Elephas maximus indicus: one gene and its partner. Each later gene encodes a partner of the first gene's protein in a complex. Links are inferred from orthologs where the notes say so. Each region holds a gene or a part of one and is shown on either strand. Other genes may lie near its edges.

Region 1 (7,988 bases):
TGGTTAATTAGCTCACTCTCCCTCTGAAGCAAATATCACCATCCCTCATACATATAAAAGAATTCCAGCTCAGAGGCCAGTGACTTGCCCAAGGTCTCTCCTCCCTGGACTAAATGGAATGCTGGGCCTGGACACCATGTCTACTTGCCCACTCTCTCCAATACCCCTGGCTGCTTTTGGGACCTGCAGTAACAACTACCTCAACAGCGACAGATGGAAACAACACACAAGCTCAGCAACAGGGTTTGGCTGAAGTTGCTGAGGCAGAACTATCTGGAATATTCTGTAGGTTTTTAGAGGGAAAGTCAGACGGGGGAACAACATGAGAATGTGTCTATGGGCACAGCATTAAATGAAAACTGGTGTTAGGGCACACACCAGAGGAAGGAATAGAGTCAGGAAGAGACTGGCAGGAAACTTCAAAATGCTAGCAGTCACCCCGTCAGGTGAAGAAAGAGGGAATGATTTTTGTTTTCTAAACTTTCTGTAGTGCTATTTTGTCACTTTCTCACTTCAGGATATTAGTCCATGAGTAGTTTTCTTGTAGTGAACCTGCTTCCCTGGGACCTGCCTGCCCTCCCGCTCTGGCCTTGGTGTTTTGGACCTCGACAAATGACGCCTGCCTCTTCTGCAGTGGGACAGCCTCTGGGACGCAGAACAGCCCCCAGACAAGAAAGGAGATGACCAGTGCTCGCTCCCTACCTCCTCTTTCCCAGGCCAAATACTCTGTTCTTCGGGAACTGGGTGTCAAGCCTTCAAAATCCCTCAAAAGATGGAACCCAGAACTGGATCCAGGCCGTCCTTCCAATCAGGACACGCTGACAGGTCAGGCCACCTGGCGACTTTTGGGGCAACCACGTCACTGTGGGATCTCAGGCCTCAGCCCCTGCCGGAGCTAGTTTGGAGAAAGCTAGAACTCTGCCCCTTCCCCAACACTTGCTGTGGGACACTGTGGTGGCTCAGCCTCTCTGGGCCCAGTGCCCTTTGCAGTGGTGCTGGAGGACATCTTTCTTGTCCTCAACCCAATGCAGAGACAACAGCAGCCACTTCAGAGCGGGCAGAAGGCACCAAGTTCACCTAGAAAAAACACTTCCCTGCACACATGCTAGCCTAAAGCTAGATTCCTTTCCACAAAGGCCTTGGGTCCCTGGGCCTCATCCTCACAGCCCAGAGTAGGTAAAAAAGCGCCCAACCACATCCAGCCCCAGCCCCAGCCCCTCAGGCTGGAAAAGGAAGTCGGGTAAGCGGAGCCTCACAGGCCCAGGACAGCTGGGGCCTCTCTACTGAGCACATCAGGGCAACAGGAAAAAACTCTAAACCAAGGGCAGGGGTCTTGAGCAGGACAAAACTGTCAGCAGTCCTAAGGAGGCCCAGACACAGCTCAGCATCTTCCAGGGGACAACCCACCTCCCTCTCGGAGCAAGAGGATCAGTCCACACTCCTAACCTCACTCTCGTTGCCTCTGCCTTGTGCCTGCTGCAGATACACCACGGCAGACACTGGAACCCCCAGGGTGTGGGGGGAGCTTGGAACAGACCCTGCAGGTGTCCCTACCCTGACAATGCTCCCATGCCAAGGGTGTAGGGCACTGCCAGTGGTCACAGGGCTCCCACATTCTCCATCCTGGTCCCATTCATATTCTGAACTTGAACAAGCTCCTGTGCCAGCTGGGCTGAGGAGGAAGGGGGAGAGGGAGAGCTGGGTCTGGACTAACCACTAGGCTGCTGCAGTTCAGGGCTAGGGGCTAGAATCCAGGCATTCTCGCCTTGCCACACAGGTGCCCACCTGCATCCCCTGCATCCCACCAGTGGGACCCAGCCTCAGACACCAAGGGGAAATCCCATGGGCAGTGCTGATGGTGCCTGAGCCCAGACCCAGGCAGAACTGGGGCCGGAAGCCCTCTCCCTTCTCTTGGGCCTCTGCCAGGGAGCACATGCTCACCCCACATGGTCCCTCCTGGGCCAGGGTGGGGACCTGCATCCCTGATGCATGAAGGCATCTGCCTGACTCCCCTCCAACCCCAGCAGCCCAGCTCCACAGAACAGTGGATGAGACGACAGCTGGCCTAACTCTTCAAGAGTCCTGGGGGAGCAACCTCCCCCTTTGAGCCTCAGTTCCCTGGTCTACAAAATGGGCGGGGAACTGAACCCCCAGTTAAGCTCCAAAGATCTGGTGGCTGGACACGCCCCTTCCTGACACCTGGCCTGGGCCCTGCAGAGAATGGGCTGACCAGGCTGTCAGGAGGTAGGGGCATGGTGTCACCTTCATCCAGGAGTGAGGCCTGCCCAGTTTCCCCACCCAAGGGTCAGAGGTCCCTTGGCTTAGACACAGTCATCTGGGAGGCTGAGAGAAACAGGTTCAGTCCCAGGACCTGGGCCTCTGGCAGGGCTCAGGGGAGCTAGCAGGGCCTCAGTGAGGGAAAGGTCAGACCCAGACAGGCCAAGACACTTGCAGGGAGGTCTGGGCAGGGAAGGGGCACTTCCAGAAATGCAGCCCATTCTCCAGGCCCTGGACCACGTCGGCCCTCTCCCTCCAGGCTCCAGCCACCCCTCACTCTTGAGCTTCACACAAGGGGACCTCAGGGTGCCCTGGGGCAAGTCTGCGGGGCTTGCTGAGCAGTGCCTCCTTCGAGTATTCCCCTCCTAATCCGGTTCTGACAGTGACTCCCGGGAGAGTTCGAACTCGGGAAGGAGGGAGTAAGGCAGTGGGGGATGGGAGTGGTCACGACGGCGGTGTAAAGAGAAGCAGGACGTGCGACCTCCCTCCTCCTCCTTCCTCTGGGGGACACAGACGCTGGCCTTCTCCTGGGCTGCAGGGCACTCACCTCTCTCGGGGCACTGAAGTCCGAGCCACCTCGCCGCGGGCGGCATCAGCGGCCTGCGGGACGGTCCATGCGGCCAGAGGGGAGGGAAGGGGCGCAGGGACCCCCGGGGGGTGCGATGCAAAGAAGTATAGGTGCGGAAAGAGGGGGAGGAGGGACGGCCACACCGAGGCAGGGGGATGGCCGCGCGGCCCGGGGCGGAGAGGGAAGAAAGGCGGGGGAAGGGGGGCGGGAGGGAGTCGGGGGGAGGAAACAATGTAGCCGGCGCGGCCCCAGCAGAGTTCCGCTTCCGAACGCCGCCGCCACGGCTCGGTTTTGGAACGTCGCGCCCGCTGCCGGGGGCCGTCCCGGACACTCGATCGGGGGCCGCGGGGGCTGCCCGCGCGCGCTCCACGCCCCGGAGCCTCAGGCGGCCACAGGCTGGCTAGGCGGGAGGGACGGCTGACCAGGGGACGGCCCCGACGGTGGCGCGGCCGGGAGATCGGCCCGCTCGGGCTCCACCCCAGCAGGACCCCAGGGCAGGGCGCGGGGTGGGGCGGGAGCGGGAGGGCGGCGACGGTCTCGGTGGCGGCGCCCAAGCTCGGCTCGCCCAGGGCTCCGCTGGGAGGAAGCTCGCAGGCCTGGCGAGAGGAAGCGCGGCCCGGATCCTCCGCCCGCGGCAGCGCGCCTGCGCGAGGGGGCCTGCCCGGTGCGCGGCGGGGCGTGGGCTGGCGAGGCGGCGCCCCCTATCGGGCGCCGGGGGCACTGCGGGGGGTGTGTCTGCGCCCACGCCCTGCCCCCACCTGCCTGTCTGCGTTGGAGGCGCCTAAAGGCCCCTCCCAGAGGGCCGACCACCCGGCCTTGGAACAAGTTCTGAACCTTCTCCGGGCCTAGCTCCACCAGCGTAGAAGCGGTGGAGGCTGGGCCTGGATCCTTCTGGAGTCAGCCCGCGCAGAGTGGGCCTCATTCGCAGCAGCAAGCATTCGTTCACACGTTCACGAACGCTTCCTGGCGCCAACAACCTGCCAGGCCATTTTCAGGGGTCTAGTAAGACCCCTTCACTGCTGTCAAGGATGGAGAGACTGACAGGCCAAAAGACAATAGCAAAGAACTAATTGATAAAAGTGGGGAGGTGATGTACAAGGTCCACAGGAAGCAGACAAGAAGGGAGGGCTAATGGGGGACTTCACTGAGCCTAGGACGCCAGGCAGAGAGAACGGTGTGGACAAAGGCAGGGAGAGGTGGGAGAGTGGTGGCTTCTGGGAAATATAAATAGCTCCGTATGGCTGCAGCTTGCAGTGTGGGTTAAAGGCGGTAGTGGGAGACTAGGTCTTGGGGCAGCAGGGGCAAGAGAGATTACAGAGAGTCTTGTGGGACTTTCTGAGACTTTATTTTCAGCCTGGAGCAATGAGGAAGTTGTTAGTAGCTGTGTGACCTTAGGCAAGCTGCTTAAAGTCTCTGTGATTTCAGTTTCCCCGTTTCATCAAATGGGGAAAATAATAGCAGCAACTTCTTAGGGCTTTCTGGGGGAGGAAATGAGTTAATGCGTTTCAAGTGCTTAGTGTGCAGTTGCTGGAACATGGTGAGCCTTCAGTTAAGTGTTGGCTGTTATTATATATCACTGTTAATGAGAAGCAGGCAGGTGATCTGCTCAGAGCCACAGACCAGACAGCTTGTGCTGGGGTGAGAGGTGGTGGGGGGAGCGCAGCGATGGGGACACCAGAGATGCTAGTGTAGGTAGGAGGAGTCAGGGCACCCCTAGGGACTGGGCCATAAAGAAAGGGTCAGGCTTGGGTTGGCAGAGAAGAGGGGGCATTCCTGGGAGTAGGGGGAAGCGGTGAAGCTTGCTGGCAAATTCTTGGAATCTGAAATAAGTATGAAGGGGCAGAAAGAGTGTGAGGGACAGTAAAAGGTCCTTTGGGACAGAGAAATGGGGAGAACAGTATCTGCAGATTGCAAAGAGTCTTGAATGCCTGGAGTAGGAACGGTGTGTGCCCCTCAGATACACTACGGGTTGTCCCTCTGACCCACTGCATCCTGGGGCCAGCATCTCAGCAAGGGGCCGCCTCTATGGGGAGGAAAGCAGTAGAAACACCTTTGTGCTTTGAGGAGACATCCAGTTAGTCTGGCATAGTTGTGGTATAATGGAAAAAAGTATGAGTTTTGGGTTCAAATCTCAGGATTAAATCTTGGCTCAGCCACCTACTAGCCGTGTGACCTTGGACTAGTTACCTAAGGTCTCTGAGCTCAGTTTCCTCTTCTGTCAGACCAGGCTTAAAGTGTACCTCTCTCACATACCTCTCTTTGGAGAGATGGTGCAGATTCAGCAAGATAAAGGCCTGGGGATGGGAGGGTGGGGAGAGAGCTTAGCAGGTTGGTTTCCCTTTCTTTCCTTTGAGGTTGAGGTCTAGACGGAATGACAATGGGGGGCTGGTTGGGGTGGGTGGAGTTTCTCTCAGCCATGGACAGGAAAGCTCTTCCGCAGCTCTGCAAAAGTTTCTAGAAGGGAGAATTGAGATCTCCTTCCCCTCCTCTGGTTTAGCTACCAGGATGGGAAAGAAAGGACTGTTGGGATTTGTGGAAAATGCCCTGTTCCACACGGGCTTTGTCACTCACCCATCTCCATCCCCTGGCCCCAAACACACTTGACTCTTTTCCTTGCATGTGCTGTGGCCAAGAGTGTGGACTTTGGAGTCAAATAGACCTGCATTTGAATCCTGGCTCCAACTCTCCACAGCAGTGTGAACTAAAAATTTTAACCTCTCTGAACTCCAGGCATGGGGATAAAACCAGGAGCAAATCAGTCATGGCCTCGTCCCGCAGAGCTCCCTTTCTTTTAGTGGGAGAGTCAGACAATTAGCCTCCAACCTCGTTTCTCATCATTTATTCATTCAACAAAAATTTACTGAGCACCTACTAAGTGCTGGAACCCTGGTGGTACAGTGGTTAAGAGCTCAGCTGCTAACCAAAAGGTCGGCAGTTCGAATCCACCAACTGCTCCTTAGAAACCGTATTGGGCAGTTCTCCTGTGTCCTATAGGGTCACTCTGAGTCAGATTCAACTCTGGAGCAACAGGTTTACCAAGTGCTAGGCACTGTCCCAGATGCTGGAGATGGAGTGAACAAGACTTCCATGGTTCCTACCCTAGGGAATAAATAAATAAACAGGGTCATTTGGCCCTGTAGTATGAAGGAAGTGAGCATGTGAGGGACTATGGAGAGGTGAGGCTTTGAGCTCTGCTTTCAGACCAGGAAAGGATTGAGCCAGCCTTTTTTTTTGGGGGTGAGTGAAGGAGGGCGCTTCAGGCATAGGCAACCCAAACCCATTGTCATCGAGTTGATTCCAACTCATAGTGACCCTATGGGGTAGAGTAGAACTGTCCCATAAGGTTTCCTAGGCTGTGATCCTTATGGAAGCAAACTGCCACATCTTTCTCCCTTGGAGTGGCTAGTGGGTTAGATCTGCTGACCTTTCGGTTGGCAGCTGAGCAGACACTTAACCACTGTGCCACCGGGGCTCCTGGCAAAGGTTAAAGACCTGAGCTAGGAAAGGGCCCTGGGGCTTGAAGGACAGCCAGAGGGTGGCCTCAGATAGCAGGGGAGGATGGAAGAGAGGAAGTAAGGAAGCCGACAGGGGCCAGATCCAGAGCCTGCACTCCAGAGATTTTTTTAGGTGAGTTTGGGTTTGATTACGTGAGCAGTGCAGGAAGCTGTTGAAGGACTTTAAGCAGGGGGGTGACATAATCGGAAGCATTTTTTTTTAATTTGCATTATTTCTTAGAGATTAGATCAAATTAAAACAAAATTATTTTATTATTTTTCTTGTTGAAAATAAAAAAAATTTTTTTTTTTTTGAAAATACACACGGTAAAAATATACCAATTCTACTTACCAGGAAGAAAAAATGAAGTCTTGATATATGCTGCAATATGGATGGAGCTGGAAGACATTATGCTGAGTGAAATAAGTCAATCACAAATGACAAATATTCTATGGCCTCACTTACACAAAAAGACAAGAAAACGCAAATGTATAGAGAACAAAGTTTATTAGTGGTTACCATGGGCAGAAGGGAGGTGAAATGGGGGTCAATAGTGATGAAAAAATCACGTTGATTAAGGGTAGGGGTGCAGAGCTGACTATTATAATTGTTGTCATTAAGTTGTACACCTACAAAAAGCTGAATTGGCAAAATTTGTGTGATAGATTTATTTACAACGATGACCCAAAAATAAATAAATAAATACATAAATAAGAGTAGCTGCTGAGGCTGCTTAAGTACAACCAAAAACCTCATGGGATTTGGTTCCTTGGTTTGAAGGTTTAGTGTCACGGTTTCATGGGATATCCCAGTTAATTGGCCTAATGTGTTTAGTGCTTCTGTTCTACCTCCTAGTTTGTTGCATGGTGCCATAGGGTCTTAAAAGCTTGCAGATGGCCATCCAAGGCACAACAATTGGTTTCTATTCACCTGGAACAGCAGAGGAAAAAGGGAGTCAGGAATAGAAGGAGGATATGGAATGTGTGGCTATTTGCCTCCATGAACAACTGCCTCCTTTGCCATGAGACCAGAAGAACTAGATGGTGCCCAGCTACCATTAGTGCACATTTTGATCAAAGATTCCACAGAAGAATCCTGATCAAAAGGGGGAAAATACAGAACAGAATTTCAAAGTCTCATGGACTCCAGACTTCCTGGAGCCATGAAGGTTGGATGAACCCCTGAAACTATTGCCCTGAGATAATCTTCAAACTTTATACCGAAAATATCCCCTGAAGTCTTCTTAAAGCCAAAAAATAACCCAAACCAAACCTGCTGTTGTCAAGTCGATTCCGACTCATAACGACCCTATAGGACAGAATAGAACTGCCCCATAGAGTACCCAAGGCTGAAATCTTTACGGATTTCTCCTATAGAGTAGCTGGTGAGTTTGAACTGCTGACCTTTCGTTTAGCAGGTGAGCGCTTTAACCACTATGCCTCCAGGGCTCCTAAAAACAGTAGTTTAGCTTAACTAGTAAAGAATGTCTGCCTTGGCATTATGCTCTTTTAAGAACTATCTATATGGGATCAAACTGACAAGAGTAACTAAAAGATCAGATAGGAACCTTAGGGGCAGTGAGTTCATGTTAATGAGGGAGGAACAACTAAGAAAAGGAGTGAGAGAATTGTTGTACAACTCGGAGAAT
Region 2 (7,012 bases), on another chromosome or scaffold:
TAGACAATCAGTGTGACAAACACTTATTGATTGCCTGCCATCTCGTCATCATCTCATCTTTGGAAAATGCAGTGCCGTTCATAAATAGAAATTATACTAGGTGTGGTTGACAGTTACCCAGACAATTGCCAAGGCACTGGGGCTAGACATCATGCAGTAGAGAGAAAATGAAATAAAGCACACAGAGAAGTCTGAGGCTTTAGTTCCTACCCGGAAAACCTACACAGCTAAAACACTCTGGACTTGGAGTAAGAAGGCCTGAAGTGGAGTTCTGTCACTTTGAAGTGTTTTGAATTTGACCAAATCTGTTACCCTCTGAGCAGTGAATCTTTGATTTAACCTGTGCTGGGCTGAAAAAACTTACAAAAATATATAAATAAACCCATAAACCATAACCCATTGCCATCAAGTCGATTTTGACTCATAGCAACTGTAAAGGTCAGAATAGAACTGCCCCATAGGGTTTCCAAGGAGCGCCTGTTGGATTTGAACTGCCAACCTTTGGTTAGTAAAAGTACTTTACAAAGTTACTGTGAGGATCAAAAGAGATAATATATACAAATATATATTTATAAAGTATAAAGTCCAATAGATTAATTGGCTATGTTAATATTCCTTGGGCACTGTATTAGTTAAGTGGATGGCTTTAACAAAGAGAAAATTATTCTTATTGGGTACTAGGCTACAAGTCCAAATTCAGGTCGTCAGCTCCAGGGGAAGGCTTTCTTTCTCTTTTGGCTCCGGAGGAAGGTCCTTGTCATCAGTCTTCTCTTGGTCTGGGAGCATCTCAGTGTAGGAACCTCAGGTCCAATGGATGCACTCTGCTCCCTGCACTGCTTTCTTGTTGGTATGAGGTCCCCAAGTCTCTGCTTGTTTCCCTTTCCTTTTTGTCTCTTGAGAAATAAAAGGTGGTGCAGGCCAAGCCCCAGGGAAATTCCCTTTACATTGGATCAGGGAGATGACCTGAGTAAAGGTGGTATTACAATGCCACCCTAATCCCCTTTAGTATAAAATTACAATCACAAAATGGAGGACAACCACACAATACTAGGAATCATGGCCTAACCGAGTTGACACATGTTTTGGGGGGACACAATTCAATCCATGACGGGCACATACTACCGTGACTTCTGCTTGGTCTCTACTAATCAAAGATTTATTTGATTTGAGAAACGAGGCATATATTGGTAGTAAAGTGATGTTCTGACAGCTATTTTCATTAGAAAAATCAAAGTTTCCTGGGTACTGTAAAATTAAAAGAATTATTAAATTTTGAACAGGCACAGAAAACTTAGCATTGGGCAGTCTTAGGATTGGTAGGGTAATGTGTGGTCACTTGCACCAGCCTTTCACTAGTGGTTGGCATTTTCTCATCCACTTTTTCCTAGACTACGTGCAGTGGCTGATTGATTCAATTATTCAGCCACTAAATCTAGCCAATGAAAACTGACTATATTTCAGTCATTACTAAAAGATGTTGATATAATAGTGAGGAAAAACATACATAGCCCCTGTCCTTGAGGAAAGTATAGCATAGAGTAGGAGACAGATAGTTTTCATGTAATCACACAAACCATAACAACTGGTTGGAAAGAGAGGTACATAATGCCACAGAAGCTGATGATTTCCATGTTTGATATTGTCAGAGAAGTGAGGGAAGACTTCTCAAAGAGTAAGACACATGAATTTTAATCTGAAAGACGAGCTGTAGTGGGAAGAAGGTGAGGAGGGGAAAGAAGAATATTCCATGAAGGCGAGCAACTTGTGTAAAGGTTCTGTCTTAGTCATCTAGGACTGGTATAAAAGAAATACAGCCAGTGAATGGCTTAAAATTTTCTTAATATATTTTTTTAATTGAACTTTAGATGAAAGTTTACAGAACAAACTAGTTTCTAATCAAACTGTTAGTACACACATTGTTGTATGGCATTGGTTAACAACCCCACGGCATGTCAGCACTCTCCCTTCTCTACCCTGGCTTCCCTATTACCAGCTTTCCTGTTTCCTCCTACTTTCCAGTTCCCGCCCCAGGGCTGGTACACCCCTTTAGTCAACAAACAGAAATTTATTCTCATAGTCTAGGAGGCTAGAAGTCTGAATTCAGGGTGTCAGCTCCAGGGGAAGACTCTCTTTCTGTCGGCTCTGGAGGAAGGTCCTTGTCAACAATCTTCTCCTGGTCTAGGAGTTTCTCAGGCACGAGGACCCTGGGTCCAAAGGACATGCTCTGCTCCTGATACTGTTTCTTGGTGGTATGAAGGCCCCATATCTCTAGGCTTGCTTCTCTCTTTTACATCTCAAAAGAGATTGACTTAAGACATACTGTATCTTGTAGAGTCCTGCTTCATTAACATAACTGCCTCGTTAACAGCATAGAGGTAGGATTTACAACACACAGGAAAATCACATCAGATCACAAAATGGTAGACAACCACACAATACTGGGAATCGTGGCCTAGCCAAGGTGACACACATTTTTGGAGGACACAATTCAATCCATGACATTCCACCTTTTGGCCCCCAATAATTTATATCTTTGTCATATGTAAAACACATTCACTCCATCATACCATAGCAAAAGTCTTAAATCAACTCCAAGCCCAAAATCTTCTGCAAAATTCCTCTTCATCTGTGAAATCTAGAATACAAATTATCTGCTTCCAAAGTACAACGGTGGGACAGGTACAAGGTAGACATTTCCATTACAAATGGGAGAAATTAGAAGGAAAGAAGAGACATTTCCATTACAAATGGGAGAAATTAAAGGGAAAGAAGGGACAATAGCACCAAGCAAATCAGCAGAACACATTACATTAGCTCTCAAGGCTTGAAAATAATCCTGTTCTCTGAGACAATTTAGGCAATAGCCCTGCCCTCCAGACTTTGGGTGTTGGCCACACTCACCTGATTCTGGGTGGAGGCCCTGGCCTTCAGCTCTACCTTCCAGGTCCGCTGAATGGCAACACCCTTCCCTCGCATTTGGGTGGCCCCATTCTCCTAGTCTTCTGAGTGGCAACTCCACCCTTTGAGACTGAGGCAGCTTTGCTTCCTGTGTTTCTTGTCTCTTCAGCTTCTGCTTCCTGGTTCCTTGTCCTCTTGACCCCGACTCTCGGTACCAAATTTTGTCTTAGTCATCTAGGGCTGGTATAACAGAAATAGCACCAATGGATGGCTTTAGCAAAAATAAATTAATTCTTTCACAGTCTAGGAGGCTAGAAGTCTGAATTCAGGGTACCAGCTCCAGAGGAAGGCTTTCTCTGTGTGTTGGCTCTAGAGAAAGGTCCTTGTCATCAATCTTCCCCTGCTCTAGGAGCTTCTCAGGTACAGGGACCCCAGCTCCAAAGGACATGCTCTGCTCCTGGCACTGCTTTCTTGGTGGTCTGAAGTCCCCATGTCTTTCTGCTCACTTCTCTCTTTTATATCTCTAAAGAGATTGACTTAAAACACAACCTAATCTTGTAGATTGAGTCCTGCCTCATTAACATACCTGTCTCTAATCAAGCCTCATTAACATCCTGGAGGTAGGATTTATAACACAGAGGAAAATCACATCAAATCACAAAATAGTGGACAGCCACACAATACTGGGAATCATGGCCTAGCCAAGTTGACACACATTTTTGGGAAACACAATTCAATCCATGACAGGTCCTGAGGCAAGATGAAGCAGGGCAGTATGAGTAAATGAAAGACGGCCAGAGTAGCTGAGTCACAGGATGAGGGGTTATAGAGGAAGATGAAGTTAGAGAGGTTGGTGGATGCTGAAGACCAGGTAAGGCCTTGAAGGCTTTGTTAAGGAGTTTGGAGTGTTTCCAAAGAACATCAGGAAGCTACAGAGAATTGTAAACAGGCGTGTCGTGACCAGATTTGTATTTTGGAAACAAATATATCACTCTTGTCATGGTTGGTAAAATAGACCAGAGATGGGCAGAGTTTGATGTATTAATTTTCTGTTGCTGCTGTACTAAACTACCCCAAACTTAGCGGCTTAAAACAGTGTAGTTTCTGTGGATCAGAAGTCTGGGTACAGTATGGCTCAACTGGGTTTTCTGCTCAGGCTGTCACAAGATAGAAATCAAGAAACCAGCTGGGGCTGCAGTTCTCATTCAGTGCTCTGCTCCTCTACCAACCCATTGGTTGTTGGCAGAAATCATTTCCTTCTCCTGCTGTCCATGCAGCCCCTTCCACTTTCAAGCCTGTGAAGGCAGGTCAGATCTTTCCCACGCTTCAAATCTCTTCGACTTCCCCTTCTGGCATATTTCTCTTACTTCCTTTTCTTCCATGGGGAGAAAGTTCTGCTTCTGTGAGTTCATGTGGTTACATTGGGCTCACCTGGATAACCCAGGCTCCTCTCCCTATTTTAACATCAAACATTAGTAACCTTAGTTACATCTGAAAGGTCCCTTTTGCCATGTAATATAGTTTATTCATGGGTGTGACACCAGGGGGAAAGGTTATGGGGGCCATTATTCTGACTGCCACAGTTGACATAGGGATACCAGTTAGAAAGTTATTCTAATAGTACAAGCAGGACAGCTTGGTTACCTGGACTAGAATGGTGTTGGTTGAAATGGAAAAAACTGAATGCATTAGAGGAATCTTGGCGAATGAGGGAGAGAAAGGTGTAAAGGAAGACTCCATGGCTCTGTCTTACACAGCTGGATGAATGGGGAGCTCTTTATCTCACAGTTCAACATTTCCATTTTGGGGTGGTTCTCATCATTTATTCTTCTTCTCTGATCTTTTGATTTTACTGCACCACGTCTACTTTCAACCTGTATTTCTTTCTATCTATGCATCCCTTCATTTCTGCAAGAAGGCAGTACCCCTGCAGAAGCCACTGGCCTCCTACCATTATTGGAAACCACCGCAAATCTGTTTATTAGTTTGTTTATAATTATACATATTATGCATGTATGGATTATAAGAATCCATCCATACATTACAGATGTCTAAATCCAAGAGAATAAAATTTTCCACCTCAGAACTAACCACTGTTTATAACTTAGAGTTTATTCATCTGGATTTTTTCAATATATGTAAATAACTTTTTCAGAAAAGGGCTAACAATATAATGGTTTATTTTCCTCAGTGATGTATCTTGGCAATTCTCCCATGTCACCACATATAGATTTATCTGGTTCTTTTTAACTGTGGCACACTATTCTATTAAATAGATGTGCCATAAATTATTTAACCTGTCCCTTATTAATGGACACATAGCCCGCTTTCAAGTTTTGCTACTATAAACAAGGCTGGAATCCGCATCTAGGTGTAGACATCTCTGCCAGCTTGTGTGATATATCTCAGGGATAACAACCTAGAATTGGAATTGCTGGGTCAAAAATTAGACCCATTAACATTTTATGTGTTATTACTAAATTGTCCTTCAAAAACACTGTTGCAGTGTGTTTCTTTCACTTAATCCAGGAGTGCGGGGGCGGGAGTGTGGGGAGAGCATGGTTTCACTTAGAACAAAAGGAAACCCTCTCAGTGAAAAAGCTAAGGCCAAGTGTTATCTCTTTTTCTAGAAAAAGTAAGATTTAACAAAGATAACACATTTGTCAATACTGTACTGCTGGTGCTGTGCGAGGTACTGGGAATACTGTGATGATGTTGAGGTGATTCAAAGAGTAGGAACTCAAGGATCCCTGAGCCCAGTCAGTCCACAAAGCTAGTTCCAGTTGAGTCAACACTGACCCGTGTGTGTCAGAGTAGAAGTATGTTCCGTAGGGTTTTCAGTGGCTGATTTTTGGGAAGTAGATTGCCAGGCCTTTCTTCCTAGGCACCTCTGGGTGGACTCAAACCTCCAACCTTGCAGTTAGCAGCTGAATGCATTAACCCGTTGCACCAACCAGGGACTTCTCAGCCAACAGTAGGCTGGCGCAAAATGTTAAGGAAGCACAAGGGAGAAGATATTAGCTCTGTCTGGAGATGGGGAATATTTCTCATTTAAGTCTTCTTAAATAGGATTTTAGGGGAAAAGGGTGACTGGGTTGTATTCATCATTGAAGAGCCCAGGGGGGTTGCAGGATGGCCAGTAGATTTTTGTGGCTGGAGAAATAGGATACAGGGAACAAGGCTGGGAAAGCATGTGATCTACGTCTGGTTCAATTAAGAGTGATTTCTCCTGCAAGTGAGAGAGAAGGGAAAAGCAGTGGCTTGGACAAGTAAGAGTTAATTTTTTTAAATTAGAATTCTAAAAGTAAGAGGCTGAGGGAGCTGGCTCAGTGGGTAAACTGTTTCAGGGTTAGTATCTCTGTAATTTTCTTGGACTTTCTCTCATTTTTTTTTTTCTCTCATGGGTGACAAGATGGCTGCCTCAGTTTCTGGTATCACATCTACACTCAAACCAAGAGGAAGAAGGAAGAGGTGGTGCCACCACAACTGCATCAGGAAAGGAAAAGCGTTTTCAGAAGCCTCTACCGCAGATTTCTGTTAGTCTCTTACTGGCCACCACTAGGTGAGAGGGAAGCTTAAAGTGTGGAGAACCAAAAAAAACACTTGCCATCAAGTCAATTCCAATTCATGGTGACCTCATGTGTTACAGAGTAAAACTATACTCCATAAGGTTTTCTTGGCTGTAACCTCTAAAGAAGCAGATTGCCAGGTCTTTCTTCCAAGGCATCTCTGGATGGGTTCAAACTCCTAACCTTTTGGTTAGTAGCTGAGCACATGACTGTTTGTACCAACTAGGGACTTCACAGAATGTCATAATTGGCTTAGTCCAACTATGGTCATTGCTGGGAATTAATTAAGTCTCTTATAGCCAGGACAAAGAGAGAGAGATAGGTATTACGAGATAACTAAAGCTACCTCCTTATGGCTTAGATTTTGAAGGGCCTTGTACATTTTTTTTGGGTTGTACACTATGCTAAGAAGTATGAATTCCTTCTTGGTGTGCCAAAGGTAACCCTCAACTTGCCATAGCGTTTCTAAAAGTTACTAGTGGAGATTGTTCTTTCCCAAATAATTTCAAGGTTCTGGACTTAGTGGAGAATTATTTCAAAGGGAC

What was found. Proteins that work in one complex are often made in the same cells at the same time.
Region 2: the proteins of CSK (region 1) and PAG1 are in contact, whole or in part, in an NMR structure (PDB 2RSY), measured with the Rattus norvegicus proteins. The link is inferred for Elephas maximus indicus from reciprocal best matches to the Homo sapiens genes CSK and PAG1. Residues at the interface, in NP_001025210.1 of Rattus norvegicus: Thr88, Arg89, Glu93, Arg107, Ser109, Thr110, Asn111, Tyr112, Thr117, Cys122, Glu123, Lys125, Val126, Glu127, His128, Tyr129, Arg130, Ile140, Asp141, Tyr156, Asp161, Gly162; in NP_071589.1 of Rattus norvegicus: Phe291, Ser292, Leu294, Tyr296, Lys297, Ser298, Arg299, Glu300, Glu301, Leu305, Ile310, Met313, Tyr314, Ser315, Ser316, Val317, Asn318, Lys319.

What each region holds. Positions count from the first base shown.
Region 1 is NC_064831.1:64,865,739-64,873,726, reverse strand, and holds the start of CSK (tyrosine-protein kinase CSK), read right to left. Parts: upstream 3,002-7,988; 5' UTR 2,825-3,001; intron 574-2,824; exon of another isoform or gene 1-573. UniProt on the Homo sapiens protein: Non-receptor tyrosine-protein kinase that plays an important role in the regulation of cell growth, differentiation, migration and immune response.
Region 2 is NC_064833.1:60,390,439-60,397,450, reverse strand, and holds the start of PAG1 (phosphoprotein associated with glycosphingolipid-enriched microdomains 1), read right to left. Parts: upstream 3,085-7,012; 5' UTR 2,902-3,084; intron 1-2,901. UniProt on the Homo sapiens protein: Negatively regulates TCR (T-cell antigen receptor)-mediated signaling in T-cells and FCER1 (high affinity immunoglobulin epsilon receptor)-mediated signaling in mast cells.